2 linked regions of the Schizosaccharomyces pombe genome follow. The gene in region 2 interacts genetically with the main gene of each other region. Each region holds a gene or a part of one and is shown on either strand. Other genes may lie near its edges.

What was found. A genetic interaction does not mean that the proteins touch.
Region 1: mutations in mlo3 (region 2) and mex67 are lethal when combined (synthetic lethality), as found in Schizosaccharomyces pombe (one study listed by BioGRID).

Annotation. Positions count from the first base shown.
Region 1 is NC_003423.3:2,405,428-2,411,833, reverse strand, and holds mex67 (nucleoporin Mex67), read left to right. Parts: upstream 1-1,712; 5' UTR 1,713-1,739; coding exon 1,740-3,530; 3' UTR 3,531-3,682; downstream 3,683-6,406. Other genes in the region: SPOM_SPBC1921.04C (uncharacterized protein), read left to right, coding at 430-783; DNA repair protein, SUMO-related Rad60, read right to left, coding at 3,732-4,849, 4,900-5,002; rpl35A02 (60S ribosomal protein eL33), read left to right, coding at 5,873-6,081, 6,213-6,330. UniProt on the Schizosaccharomyces pombe protein: Involved in the export of mRNA from the nucleus to the cytoplasm.
Region 2 is NC_003423.3:1,741,238-1,748,617, forward strand, and holds mlo3 (RNA-binding protein Mlo3), read right to left. Parts: upstream 3,512-7,380; 5' UTR 3,476-3,511; coding exon 2,876-3,475; 3' UTR 2,731-2,875; downstream 1-2,730. Other genes in the region: MAP kinase kinase kinase Byr2, read right to left, coding at 1-1,059; cyclin Clg1, read right to left, coding at 4,804-6,189. UniProt on the Schizosaccharomyces pombe protein: Has a role in the mRNA export process. Interferes with mitotic chromosome segregation when overexpressed.

The sequences.
Region 1 (6,406 bases), 660 kb from region 2:
CACCATTTTAGTGCCCCAGTGTGGGAACTTAATAGATACAACAGAGATAACGATAAGGTGAACAAATATGAAATGCATCTAAACGTTAAACGACATACAGCATGTGCATTGTTAATACCCGTGGAGAAGACAGAGCAAAGAACACTAGGATTTTTTCTTTTATCCACGGCACAATCAACTATGATATTTCACATTACAGCCATAATAGTGACAAAATAGAAATGAACGTAGCTTGTTAAACCCATTGAGTATCCTGTCCGACAAACAAGCTGTCCCTATAACACTAAAAAATGGAAGAAATTTCGATAATTCAAAATTAAGTAAACAGCAGGTTTTTAAAACCCACGAATACAACCAAAATTTACACAAGACAGACAAATACAACCAACACATAACATGAATAATATTAAAATGAATTAAAAAACATTAATGAGTCATACAAAAAATTTAAAACTTATACTACAAAGCAAAAAGCTATCTGAACTACCGACCCACAGAAAAAGTATCAATATGACTATTCCTGTAAGGGCACTAAGATGTCCAATATGGCTCTGGCCCACGTATGACGCTCAAACCATTCCATGGAAAAAGAAAAAGAAAAGTGAGCAACACGAATTGTGGGCGTCGGTATATAACCGCACGATAGGGAAACTTCAACTTAACAAACTCACGTTTATAGACCTTTGTGACTGTTTTTTAAACCCTACCCTTTTAAGTAATTTGTTTGCTGCATTTTCAGGTTATTATCCTATTGAGGTTACGATAATGTCAAGGAAAGTATAAAACAAGTGCTGTTCAAAATAAATAAATGAAAATAAAATAACACTTTTTTAATCGATTTCTGTAGAAATTTAGTCCTTTCATTTTTTAAGTTGACCCTTCATTGTTATACAACAATTAATTATTCTATACGTATATATTATATATATTGTCTACATCAATAACTGAGCAGAATTGAGCATTATACTGGATAGAAAATAAAAAAAATAAGCAGGCATTTTTTCACAAGTAAGTACATATTTTTATGATATGAATTGATAAAGGTGCAGGCGATCATATTGTTAGTTAATAATAAAAAATTGTAAATAGTAATTTTGCTTCTCCATTAAAATGAATACATAAATTTAGTAGATAATCGATTTAAACAAAAAATAGATATCCAAGCCAAAAAAAAAATAAAAAAAACCAAAAAATGTTTATTTTTTTTGGCTCATGAAACCCAGATTTATCAAAAACTTACGTTGCTTAGTGCTCAATCTCTTTAAACATGCAATAAAACAAGAATTAGCGGGACACATATATTGATATATTGCTTAAGGAATTAGTGTTCGGAAGTCTTACTGACTAAACTGTTCTTTACTTCAAAATTTACTCCTGAATTTTCATGTTAATGGAGGTCGAATTTTAGGTGGTCGATTGAGTTATATCAATAGTGATTTTACAAAAAAACAGTAAACGATTTTATATTAGCCTCATATAAATTTTTTTGAATTTCAATAAAATAAACTAAAACAAAAAATGTATTTCCACAAATTCCATCGATACAAGCATAGCAAAAGACGAATAACGCATTTAACAGTTTCTCGTTATATCACAAATAGTCTAACTGTTTAACGCAGTTTTGCGCGTACACATCTCTACTCCTTATACTTGTCCTATTACTATTGAAGTTAAAAATGTTGAATTAAATTCCACTTACTCTCTTTCTCTTCACACTTACTACTCAACATAATTGCAAAATGTTGCGTAGAAAGCGGGAGCGTCGTAATGCTGTTAAAGAGAATGAAATGGTAATTGATACACCATTGGAGAAACGCCGTACACCAGGCAAACCTCGTGCCACGCGTGAACCCCCGATATCCGTAGTTATTACTGGTCATTCCAAGGGTTCTGAGGACGACTTAATAAGCTTTGTTTGGAGAAAAGTCAAGGTTCGTCTAATGAACATTTCATATTCTCCGGCTTCGGTCACTGCCGTAGTTAAAAGCCAAGACTTTAGTCGTTTGAACGGGTTAAATGGTGCGGCTTTTGCTGGTGATCATTTGGCTATACGAAGGGTCGATGGAGCTTCTAACGTTACTCAAGATTATAGAAAAGCAAAGACAAAACGATCATTTCGTTCTGTTTCAGCTCCTTCATTATCTGCATTAGCAACACAAGCCCAGAGAAATGTTTCAAAAACGTTACCACAATCCACAAATGAGACCATTGAAAAGTTACGCCAGTTTTTGCAAACCCGTTATCAACCTGCTACTAAATTCTTGGACCTCGGAAATTTGCAACAAGATCCTCTTTTAAAGCAAATGGGGATTTTAGCAGAGGCTTCTACTAAGAGTAAGATGTTTCCAGCGTTAATGAAGGTTGCTTCTTTAAACTTTCCAGACGTTATATCAGTTAGTTTGTCGGATAACAACTTACAATCGGTGACTGCCGTAACCACTTTAGCACAAACATGGCCTAAACTTTTAAACCTTAGTCTTGCTAATAACCGGATTACTTCTTTATCTGACTTGGATCCATGGTCCCCCAAAACAAAGCTTCCCGAACTCCAAGAGCTTGTTCTTGTCGGAAACCCGATTGTCACAACCTTTGCTAATCGTGCTATGGATTATCAACGGGAAATGGTTTCGCGTTTTCCGAAGCTTCGTCTTTTAGATGGTAACAGCATAAATTCAGAGATTATCGCCTCTCAATCTACCGTCCCTTTTCCGGTTTATCAATCTTTCTTTGATAAGGTTGAAACCGAACAAATAGTCAATTCTTTTTTGGCTGCGTTCTTTAAAGGTTGGGATGAGAATAGAAGTGCACTTGTCAATCAATTATACAGTCCAAATGCTACCTTCTCAATCTCTCTGAACGCTTCAAACGTTAGAACGAACTTTTCTCAGAAAACAGACACTAAAAAATGGGGAGCTTACAAAATGAAAAGCAGAAATCTACTTTACTCACAATCACAGAAGGAGTCGAAATCTCGTTTATTTAACGGGCACGAAGAAATAAGCAACGCTGTAAAATCCTTACCTGCTACGGCTCACGATTTATCAGACCGTTCGCAATGGGTTTTTGATGGTTGGAACCTGGTTCTGCCTTCGGTTGGTGCAGCCATCAAAATTGTTGTCCATGGGCAATTTGAGGAACCACAAAACAAACGACTTCTACGAAGTTTTGATCGAACTTTGCTGATTTTGCCGGGAGGTTCCACAGGCATATTGATTATAAATGATTTATTAGTCATTCGTTCATTTGCTGGATCGCTCGGGTGGCTACCTGGTCAAAGCAGTGTACGAACAAGCAATAATGCCATGTCTGCGTCTGCTTCAAAGCCTAGTGATATTGTACAGCCAAGACCGGAACAAGCAATGTTAGACACTAGACAACAAATTGTATTAAAAATTAAGGCGGAGACAGGTTTAAATGATTACTATGCTCACATGTGTTGTGAGCAAAATAATTGGGATTACAACAGCGCTCTAGCATCTTTTTTGGAATTAAAGTCGCGAAATGTTATACCAGCCGAAGCATTTTCATGAACTTCTAGTGACGTGTATAGATAGATATGGTTAAAAAATTACAAACTGGGGAAATGGAAACTTTTATTTAATAATGGTACATATTGATGAAATGAATAAGTTAGATTTATACATAGTCGTTCGTGATCATTCTATAAAAGTATTATGGCGGTAATTAAATATAAGAAAGAACAATGGTAAAAGTAAGAGCCAAATATCCTTTTAATCCAAAACAACACTAACTTGATCTTCATCTTCAAGTTCCGTGCTTTGCACTTGATCGTTGGGATCTAACCATTCACCTTCAAATTCTAATCTAATGCGTTCATGAAAACTAATCTTTACTTCAGTACAATATCTCTTAATCAAATCTTTAACAGTGAAATCGACGGGTATTGAGAGACGAAGATCCTCACTCTTACTCGAACGCAAAAGCAACGTTATAAGTTTACACGTTTGAGCAGTTGAATCTTCAGTTACCGAGGATAACTTTTCCACTTCCAATTCTTTTATTCTTTTGAGTGATATAAAATCCGAGTGACAGTAGGCATGCACAACCAAACGGGTATCGACTTTAAGCATACCAGCGCCCTTTGGGGTTCCATAATCCCATAATCTTTGATTTTGAAATACAAGAACAACGTTATCTACTTTTTTTCTTTCAGAGTACGCTATTCTGACACGACGAAACTGTTGGTTCGACTTAACTTTGAAAAATAACGGTGCCTCCCAGTCCCGGGGAAGAGAGATATTGCTGTTTGGAATTCTCTGTCCAATTACGGCTAACTGGAGAACGACGGAAATAACTGGTTCATTTGTTGAGAATTCCGATTTGGAGTGATACAGCGTTGAGTGGTCACTTTTTGAATGCTTTAAAAGGGGCACATCAGCCGAAGTATTGTCATCGTCTTCTTCAATTTCTCTCTTATGCGTGTGAATTTGTACATCCATATCACTTGATGATTTTTCAAACTCCTGAACTTGCCGATCAATTTCCTCTAACCTACGAGCAAAGTCATCGTCCAGCAGTGATGAAGTCGTAGAAAGCGCAGCCTCACTATTAATGCTGTTGTTTCGCAAGTTAGCGGCCGCCCTAGTATTATAAACTGGTGAAACCGGTTGTGTTACACAGGAGATAGCACTTTTGGGTGAGTGCCTACCTTCATTCAAACACGCATTAGGAGTAGTGTCTGAAACGTCTTGGTTGCCTTCATCAGCATCTAAAATAGTGGATTGACGAGATAAAGGTTCGGCACTTTTGTTTTCATTATGAGTTATATTTTTCTGTGCATTTATGTGTTCTAATGCTTGTTTATTGGTATCAAGTTCACTTTCCTCTTCTAGAATGTTGTAAGCAAGCTGACACTTTGCAATCGGAATTAAAACTTACCAGAATCTGAGGAAGAGGCTATTAATTGCTTGGCATAGTTTAATGGAGGCTTTTTAATAGGCTTTGAGAAGAATGCTAAGTCATCTTCATCTAGGTTGTCCATTTGGCGAGTTTTAGCAATTACGGTGGTTCCACAAAGCTTCTTATGGATTTAACGAGAATTTGTAGCGACACACCTTAAACTAGGTAATTTTTAGCTTAGTTTTGTTTTCACTCAAGTTTATTACAAATCGATTTTGAAAGTTATATAATAATTTTATAATTCAATTGAAAAAGTTCAATGAACATTCCTCCAACTCATCTTCGAAATGAAGTTTGTTTACTTACGCAAAACCCGATCTTGTCCACTTAGCAAACAGATTTAAGTCTATAGAATTTCATTTTTTAGGTTAAGTAATTTGAAAACTCTTTGCTTCTTGTACTGAGACATTAGGTTTGATGAATTTCAATGACATTGGCTCACCTTACGACGGCTACATTGCGTCCGTCCATTACTGCCATTCATAATTTGTTCTTCATTCGCTAAATAAATTTTATTTAGTTCAGATAAAACCAAATTGTTGTACTATTAGAGATACAATGAATAGGTTTAATCAGCCGATATTCCTATATTCAGTAGTAGACTATTCAGGTACAAGATATAATACTAAACAATAATATGTAAACAAAATCGAATATTATCAAGTTAGTCCCCGTTACTTTATATTGATCATTAGAAAAACTTTACACTATACTGTATTGGTAAGTGAGAGATAATTTTAAAAAATTGAAGAGTATCTTTTTAAGATTATATAATGAATTAAGCTATATGATCGCAATCAATAAGATTATGAAGTACGTTACACTATGCTAGATTTATGAAAGTGTTTACTACCAACACAAGCTTAGGTTTTGCAAGCACAAGAAGGGCAGTCACAGCTTAAGCAAACGGTAAGGATCACCACACTAAGAGTTCCGCCTTTACCAAGTCAAAATGCCTGCTCAGGGACACAGATTGTACGTTAAAGCTAAACATCTCTCTTTTCAAAGAAGCAAACATGTTATCCACCCAGGAACTTCTTTGGTAAAGATTGAGGGATGTGATTCTAAGGAAGAAGCCCAATTTTACCTAGGCAAGCGTATTTGCTTCGTCTACAAAAGCAACAAGCCCGTTCGTGGATCCAAGATTCGTGTCATTTGGGGGTAAGTTTATTTTTGTAATTAAATTCTTGCGTTTCTTTGGAGAATATGAAGAAACGTTAATGCTATATTTTCACGGTCGTTTTTTGTTGGCTAAACGAATACATTCAAAACCTTTACTAATTACGTTTTAGAACTGTTAGTCGTCCTCATGGAAATTCTGGTGTTGTTCGTGCTCGTTTCACCCATAATCTTCCTCCCAAGACCTTTGGTGCCTCTCTCCGTGTCATGCTTTATCCCTCCAATGTTTAAATAAAATATTTTTATGTTCACAACAATTCTTCTGCTTCTTAGATTTATTTTATTTAGGGAATCCCATTTTATCGAA
Region 2 (7,380 bases):
AAGTACTTGATGGTTGCCATGCGCGCTTTCTGAAAAAACATTATACTTCGACGATTTTTCATTTCCGTTGGACTGGTATAAAGGTTCCACACCAACCATGGTTATGGATTTTTGAAGCGATGGTGGTCTAGAAATACGCTGAGTAGAAGATACAGTAAGTGGAGGATCAAATCCCCTATCAATCCTAGGAAGTCGGTTAACATCTTCAGCAACAGAAATCCTCAGAGAGGAAAGAGGACAAACCAATTCGGAAGGGCGAGCCCGCCGAGAGCTTCTTGGCAAAATTTCTTGACCAAAATTACCAAGATTGTGCCCTTGAGACGTACGTATGCTAAGGTTTCTACGAAGAGAGTTTGATATTGTTTTTTCCAGTAGCTTTGGTTGATGATCGGGGAAAAAATCGGAAATTCTAGAATTAATAAGCTCGCTAGGAGGTCGCTGGTAGGATTCAAATGGTTTCGCATTATTTGAGCGGACACTTCGTTTCTGAGTGCTCGTGGGAAGAACAGAGGAAAGTTTAGGAGAAAGGGAGGACTGTGATGATAATGCTGCCGGTTGAGCCAATTCAATCTCCCAAGAACGGCGGAGGTCTTCAAACGATGGACAAGGCTTTTCTTTTGGCACAATAATTAACCTGTCGCGTTCCGGTGAAGATGAATTAAAACAAATTTGTTTAAATTCTTCTTCAGTAATCAGCTTAATTCGACTACTCTGTGAAACGCATACAATGAATTTTGAAGCATCTTCAAGGCTAAACTTTTTCAAAGCAATAGCGAGTGTTTTCTGGTAATCTCCTCGTGATTGAACTGCTCGAGTTTGCCCGTTACAGGCAATAAACCTCAGTATACATGGACGTGGAAACTCTCGTAAATAGTCTCTTTGTTTTAAAAATTGTTTGCCTTTGGCGGTGTTTTCAATGCCTAGGTCTTTCAGTAAAGGCAAGGTTAAATGATTTAGGTGTCGTCCTTCAATGTTATTTTGTGAAAATTGTTCGATATACTTCTCCAATCCGATACTTTTCAACCATTCTGCTACCTCCTTCGAGGTATAATATTCCATAAATGCAGGAAAGTGGTTGTACAACGTATAACTTCTAAGTTCAAAGTTGGTAGCATTTACGTTTAACCTGCCTCCCTTAGTCTCGTGCTCTTTGACGTAACAATATAACTATACACTTTATAACCGATATTAGTTTCACTAAATCTCATTACCAAAATGAAGCTGCCAAAAAATTCGTAAAGGCTGCTTGTTTATATAGGTATTGCAATTCTCACCCGGCACAGATTCAGATATCTATTAAATAACACTTACGTACATATACGAGTTCCACAAGGAGTCTAAATATCGACGAGAAATTGTAATCAGATATTAAAATCTAAAACTTTCGTATAAACCATGTGTAGCAAGTGAATAATAATCTTTCTCTTTATCTGCAATACAAATGTCGTTAACCACCGTTCAGATACTACTGGTTTAAGGTACGAACGTAAAGTACTGTTTTAACAATTTCAATGTTTCAATCGGTTTCAGAGGACGGCAAGAATCGCGCACTAAAATTAGCAACCCGCAAATGCGCATTCTGAAAGCGATTTTTGGTTTGTAACACAATCACGACGGATCGTACAGATCTTTCAAAAAAATCAAAATTATAAGTGCCAAAAATATATGTGTGGGACTTCAATTTAAATTGTTTGATGTGACAATGGTTCGAACATAAAACCAAGCAATGTTTACCAAAACAAATTTCGAGATACGGTCGGCAATTCAACCATAACAATAATTTACAAATAATAATAAACGTCGGAAGCAAAAAAAACGGGAATGGAAGTGACTAGGGTTTAAAAGTTTCAAAAGAATGCATTGCGCGTAATTCATCAATCAGCGAGTTTAAAATGCAATCGTGGAAAAGTTCTATAAATGTGGTTTACATACAAAGGAAGGAATGAAGCCAGTTCTGTCATGTACAATTTGACAAAGATGAAATAGAGCCATCGAACGCGATGATTTTACGAATAGAAATTCCTCATCCAAACAAGCCGTGCCACATATAGTAAAACAAGACTTGGAATAAGTGTGACGTGAACCAAAAACCATCATGAACATAATAAACACAGTCAAGTTGGGGTATGGAAGCTTTGACTTTCAGCAAACATGCAATAATAAACCCTGTCGGTAAGCTCAACCCAGTATAGTTTAGCAACATGATGATCAAAACAGCTGCCTTGTACAGTAACTTAGATTAAATAAAGTAACAGTAGCCGAAGCTACCATTATCCACCTCTTTTAACCACTGTCTACATAGGTTTTGCTTTTGTATTAAACAAGAAGGGAGCGCTTATCAACCATAAAGGATTTCTGCACAAGAGCTGATAAAGTTGCAAACATAACAGGTGAACAGATATGCTAATAATGAACTCGACTCAAAGCTTAGCTTCTTGGTAGCGTTTAAGCTTGCATACTACAAATCAACAGATATGTCAAAAGTTAGCAAAAGTCAAAACCTCCAACCCAACGTTAACCACCGAAAAAGAAATAAGTAACCAAATTCGTTCGATGTCAATGAAACATATATGTCTATCAAAAAAGAGATATAAATAAAAAATTTAATGAAATTCTTTGAAATAATGGCATAATGGCAATATGACCCAATACACACCATATATACTAACAAGAACTGGTTCAGCTCACTTCTCCAAATCCATTACGAAAGACCCAAAACACAAAAACAACTTCAAGAACTGCCATTCGAAACAGCATTATATTGCCAATATTATTTAACTGAGGGAGTATGTTGTATAGGTCGTTATTAATACCAAGAAGCATTTGACATCTTCAAAATATATGTATATATAGTAGAATCTTCAAATTATTAAAGTTACTCCTTCTCATTTGATCCAAAATAATCATCCATCTCCTTGTCGAGCTCTTCGGCGGATTTTTTAGGACGATTAGGAGTTCTACGGCGGCGTGTAGTCTTCCGCTTGGAAGATTTGGCGCCATTCTTGCTAGCAGTGGCGCTAGCGTTGCTGGCAGGACTTACACGTGCAGCCAAAGAATTCAATTGACGACTAGGATCAAGGATTATCTCAACCTTCATTTTTCTAGTGCCATCAACCAAACGACCCTCATACTGTTCATAAGCTCGAGTGGCATCACCAGGACGAGAAAAAATGATAGTTGCAATACCTTTCGAACGACCGTTGGGACCGTAAGCCAAGGAAACGCGTTTGCAAGGTCCTATGGATTTCACAAAAAGCTCCTTAACTTGAGCCTCGGTAACGTCAGTAGGTAAGTTAGAAACAATAATTTTAGATTCCTCAGAAATGACGGATTTAAGGGCAGAGGCAGTGTTCACTGCGGGTTTCGCGTTCTTTGTTGGCTTTGGCTTGTTAGAGCGCGCACGACGCTTTCTAATACCTCCTTTAGGCTTTGAAGCAATTATGGCGTCCAAGGACTGATCTAATTCCATAGACATTTTTATCGAGTTACTGTTGGGTAGTTAGTTGTTGTTAGGTGGTAAAGTGGCGGGTGGGGTTTACAACTGATCAGGATCTAGGTAAGGGTAGTACACAAGGTGTCGATATTTAAAATTATTATTTTGTAGATTCCTAAATATATTTAGCGATGTTGAACGCTTACTTTAAAGTCTTCAGAAATTTGACAAAAAAATAATATTACAAATTAAACTTACTTTACACTTTATTGGCATCAGAACTAGGATGGACGCGTTCACTTATAAAAGTTGAGAGATTATTGATAAAACAGAATTTATTGTTTTTTTGGAAAGCAATTTTTGTAACCATAATACCAAACGTTTGATATGATGCCTACACGATTAGATAGATGCAAACGCTTCGCCGCTTCTTGGTAGCTTAACAATGCAGAATCTAGACAGAAGAATAACGATTATGCAATTTTTAGAAACACGGAAAACATTCAAAGACAACATAATTCAGAATTAAAAAGCACGATTCAGTGCAACAGAATCAAGTATAAGAGATTATATAAATCCGTTATCTCACTAGTAGACATACGACGAATGCGCAATAAAACTAGGTAATCATAACAAACAGTTTGGGAGTTGGAAAATCGCAATAAAAAATTTTATGCTTAATCCTTAGAAAACAGCAAGCAAAGGTTTCTCATTTAAGTATCAAAAGGAGAAAAAATAAACAAAATAAGGACAAAAACGATGCCCGAAGTAAAATCTTTGCTAATGAAACAGAAAAATAAACTCAAAGCATCCATGGGCCTTTTCATCTATTCACAATGTATTTCTTGATGAAGCTAGTTGTATAAGTAGACTACTAATTTTTGAAGGCGAACTTTAAAAAGGAAATCCGCGATCCCTATAGTAGTAGCGGATGTATATACATCAAGCAGTATTAACAAATCAGAATTGCATCAAAAGATATTCCAATAGATAACAAAGCCACACGAGAAAGCAAAATAAAAGTCCAACGACAAAAATAAAACAGATACTGATAAGAAGTTGGTTCCTTTTTTTCGGTATACTACTTTTCAATTTTTTTTGGGAAATTTTTTTTTTCTCTGTTAAAATTTGAAAAAATAAGAAAGTAGAAAAGCAAGATCAAACGGCAAATTAATTTCAAGAGAGCCGAATTCATCACGGAGATGATTAGAGAATACAATATGACGGGTTAAACAAAAGTTCCCGTCATACAATATGAAAAGAGAAAAAAGTTACAAGAATAACAAAAACACGTAAAGTGTTTATAAGCGCAAGGAAACGAAAAACAAACCCCGTCAAGCAACAACACCCGCAGAAAGTAAGCACGATCACTAAGTCATTGCATAGCGATTGTACACTGGATAATATCCCACGGGTGTATAGGGATAATAGTAGTTGCAATTAGAGCAAGAACGTCCAGAAGAGGGCGATGGTGGTGCGTTGGTGCTCAACGTAGTAGGGCTATAAGTTTTTTGTTCACCAGAGTATGTAGCGTTTGAGGAAGTAAACAAAGAATAAGAAGCACTCCACCACTCCCATGCCTTTTGACCACGAGGACCGGGACTAAGATTCCAGGACATGCTAGCTAGCCAGTCTTGTTCAAAGCTGTTCAACAAGGCAGTACGGAAACCAGTAACTTGCGACCAGGATTGATTGGTAAACGTATTGTCATCCAAAAACTTATTAGCCAAAATCAAGGCGGTCGTTAAAAGAGCACATATTTGGAAGAATAACGACTCCTTAGTCCACTGGTTTACAAAATCAGTCGTTTGAGATGCGGCGTCAAGACGATCGGAAAGGTATGACAAGGCAAGCAAGCAAGAGGCACGAGGTAAACGCGTAGACGTCAAAATTTGTGTAACGACCTTACGGAAAGAAAACACAAGACCAGGTAAAGAGTTAGCAAGAGAATGCATTTGAGCATTATTCAGGAAACGAGCATACAACTTACAAGTCATGATAGACAAGTATTCCACCATTTGATCCATCTTGTAATCCAGTTTAGCAGCAACACCTCCGGTATAAACGGTTTCTTCCTGATCCTCCATGTTAGTTTTGCAGACAGGAGAAATACGTTGTTGAACGTTAGCAACCGAAGGCATGTTAAGATTACCTGGGATTGTATTATCAGTCTCGGAGGTAGTAGTGGCGGTATTGTTGGTTACAGGCACATCTGCTACGGGATGTCGAGACTGATAAAAGGAAGGAGCACAATTGTTAGCAATCAAAGGGGCGGAAACGTTGTTACATGCAGCTGATACATTCACCGAATTGCCAAATTGATCTTGGTTAGGATTATAGGCAACGGCAGAGTCAGGCATATAGCGTTGCTGGGAGGGTGGTGGAGGTGCGGCAGATGGAACCGACTGATAAGATGGCCAGTAATAGTTTAGAGGCGCAGAAGGGTAGAGACGTGGTTGAGGTTGCTGTAAACGGTGCTGCGACAGAAGGGAAGGAACAGCGGAAGGATGATGAGAGGAGGAAGGGATGGAGAAGCCCGACCTTACCGAAAGCGTATCGGGCACAGAAACGCCAGGTAAGAAGGACGGACGACGCTGGCCAAGACCATACATAGGAGCATGACTCAACAAAGCAGCAACCGAAGAAGCAGAGTTTGCACTATTGCTGGACGAAACAGGAGCAAACATACTCAAGCCGGGGGCAGCCAAAGGAGGCTGAACTTGAGAACGTGAAGTGTGCTGATAAGGAAACGACATTGCTGAAGAATTTCGAAAAGGAAAGCAAATTGAAGAATTAAAAAAAAAATTTTTAACTCCTTTGCTATTCTACCTAATCAAGTCTTTTTCGAGTTTTGTAATCGATTTCTTGAGTACTCCTTTCAAGGAAAGAAGAATACAAAGGAAGAACGATAAAAAAAAATGAAAAAGAGATAAAGAATGCTCAACAATAAGAAATTTACCCAAGAGACAGGAAAAAGACTTATTAACACTCACTTCTAGCAAAACCCGACCAAGGAATGCTTGTTTCGCTGGCAAATAGACGAGGCTTAGTAAAAAGCTCGACTTCTGCAAAAAAACTGCTAATATAGAAGGAAAAAAATAGGATTGAACCCTCCAAACTAAATTTTACGGTGGTTGGTTGTGCGCAGGTTCTGAAAAGCTGGTAACGCAGTTGAAAATGCTTGCAACTTAGGAAAGAGAATTTTTTAGGAATAAAAAATTTCACTTTGTTAAGCACTGAAAAATAGCGTAGCGTTGAAGATTATTCAGCAAGAAAGTTAAACCCAAATTAAGATATCTAACGTAATAGATCGGTTAGATAACTTTATGGATTTTAATTAGCAATTGCCGGTGAGGAAAATTGGGAGCGAGGTAAACAAACAATGGGACAAGCAGGAAAAAAATCAAAGAAAAATAAGTTAAACGTAGCAAGACAAACAATAAGTATGTAAAGAGGAGAATTTGAAAGTTATCTAAATAAAGAAACAACTTGAGAAGTAAAAATCGAGTAGAAAGTGAAATGAAATGGAAGGAGCAATTAAAGAGGAGAGAATAAACAAGAACTGAGTATGATAGACGAAAAGTAGACGGAAAAAAGAAATTAAAGAGACAAGAGAAAATCAACTGGTGGATGTCTTTGTCGTATAAGAAAAGATGTATAAATAGAAATCAAAGATTAAAAAGGGAGGTAATGTTTACTTCAGCAAGTTGAGAAAAAAAAATTCAACAATTAGCTTTTCGAGACAATTTGGAGTGAAACGAAAAAAAAAGTAAAAAATAACAGTAAACAACAAAAACTGAAAAAAAAGGGGAGATGAAGAGCGAGTAAAGAAATCGGGTTTGTAATTATAAAAGGATAAGTAGGGATGAGCGATTAGATGAATGAAAAAACAGAGAGAGAGAGAGAGAGAGAAAAAGAAAAAAAAAAGGATTAAAAAGTAAAAGAAA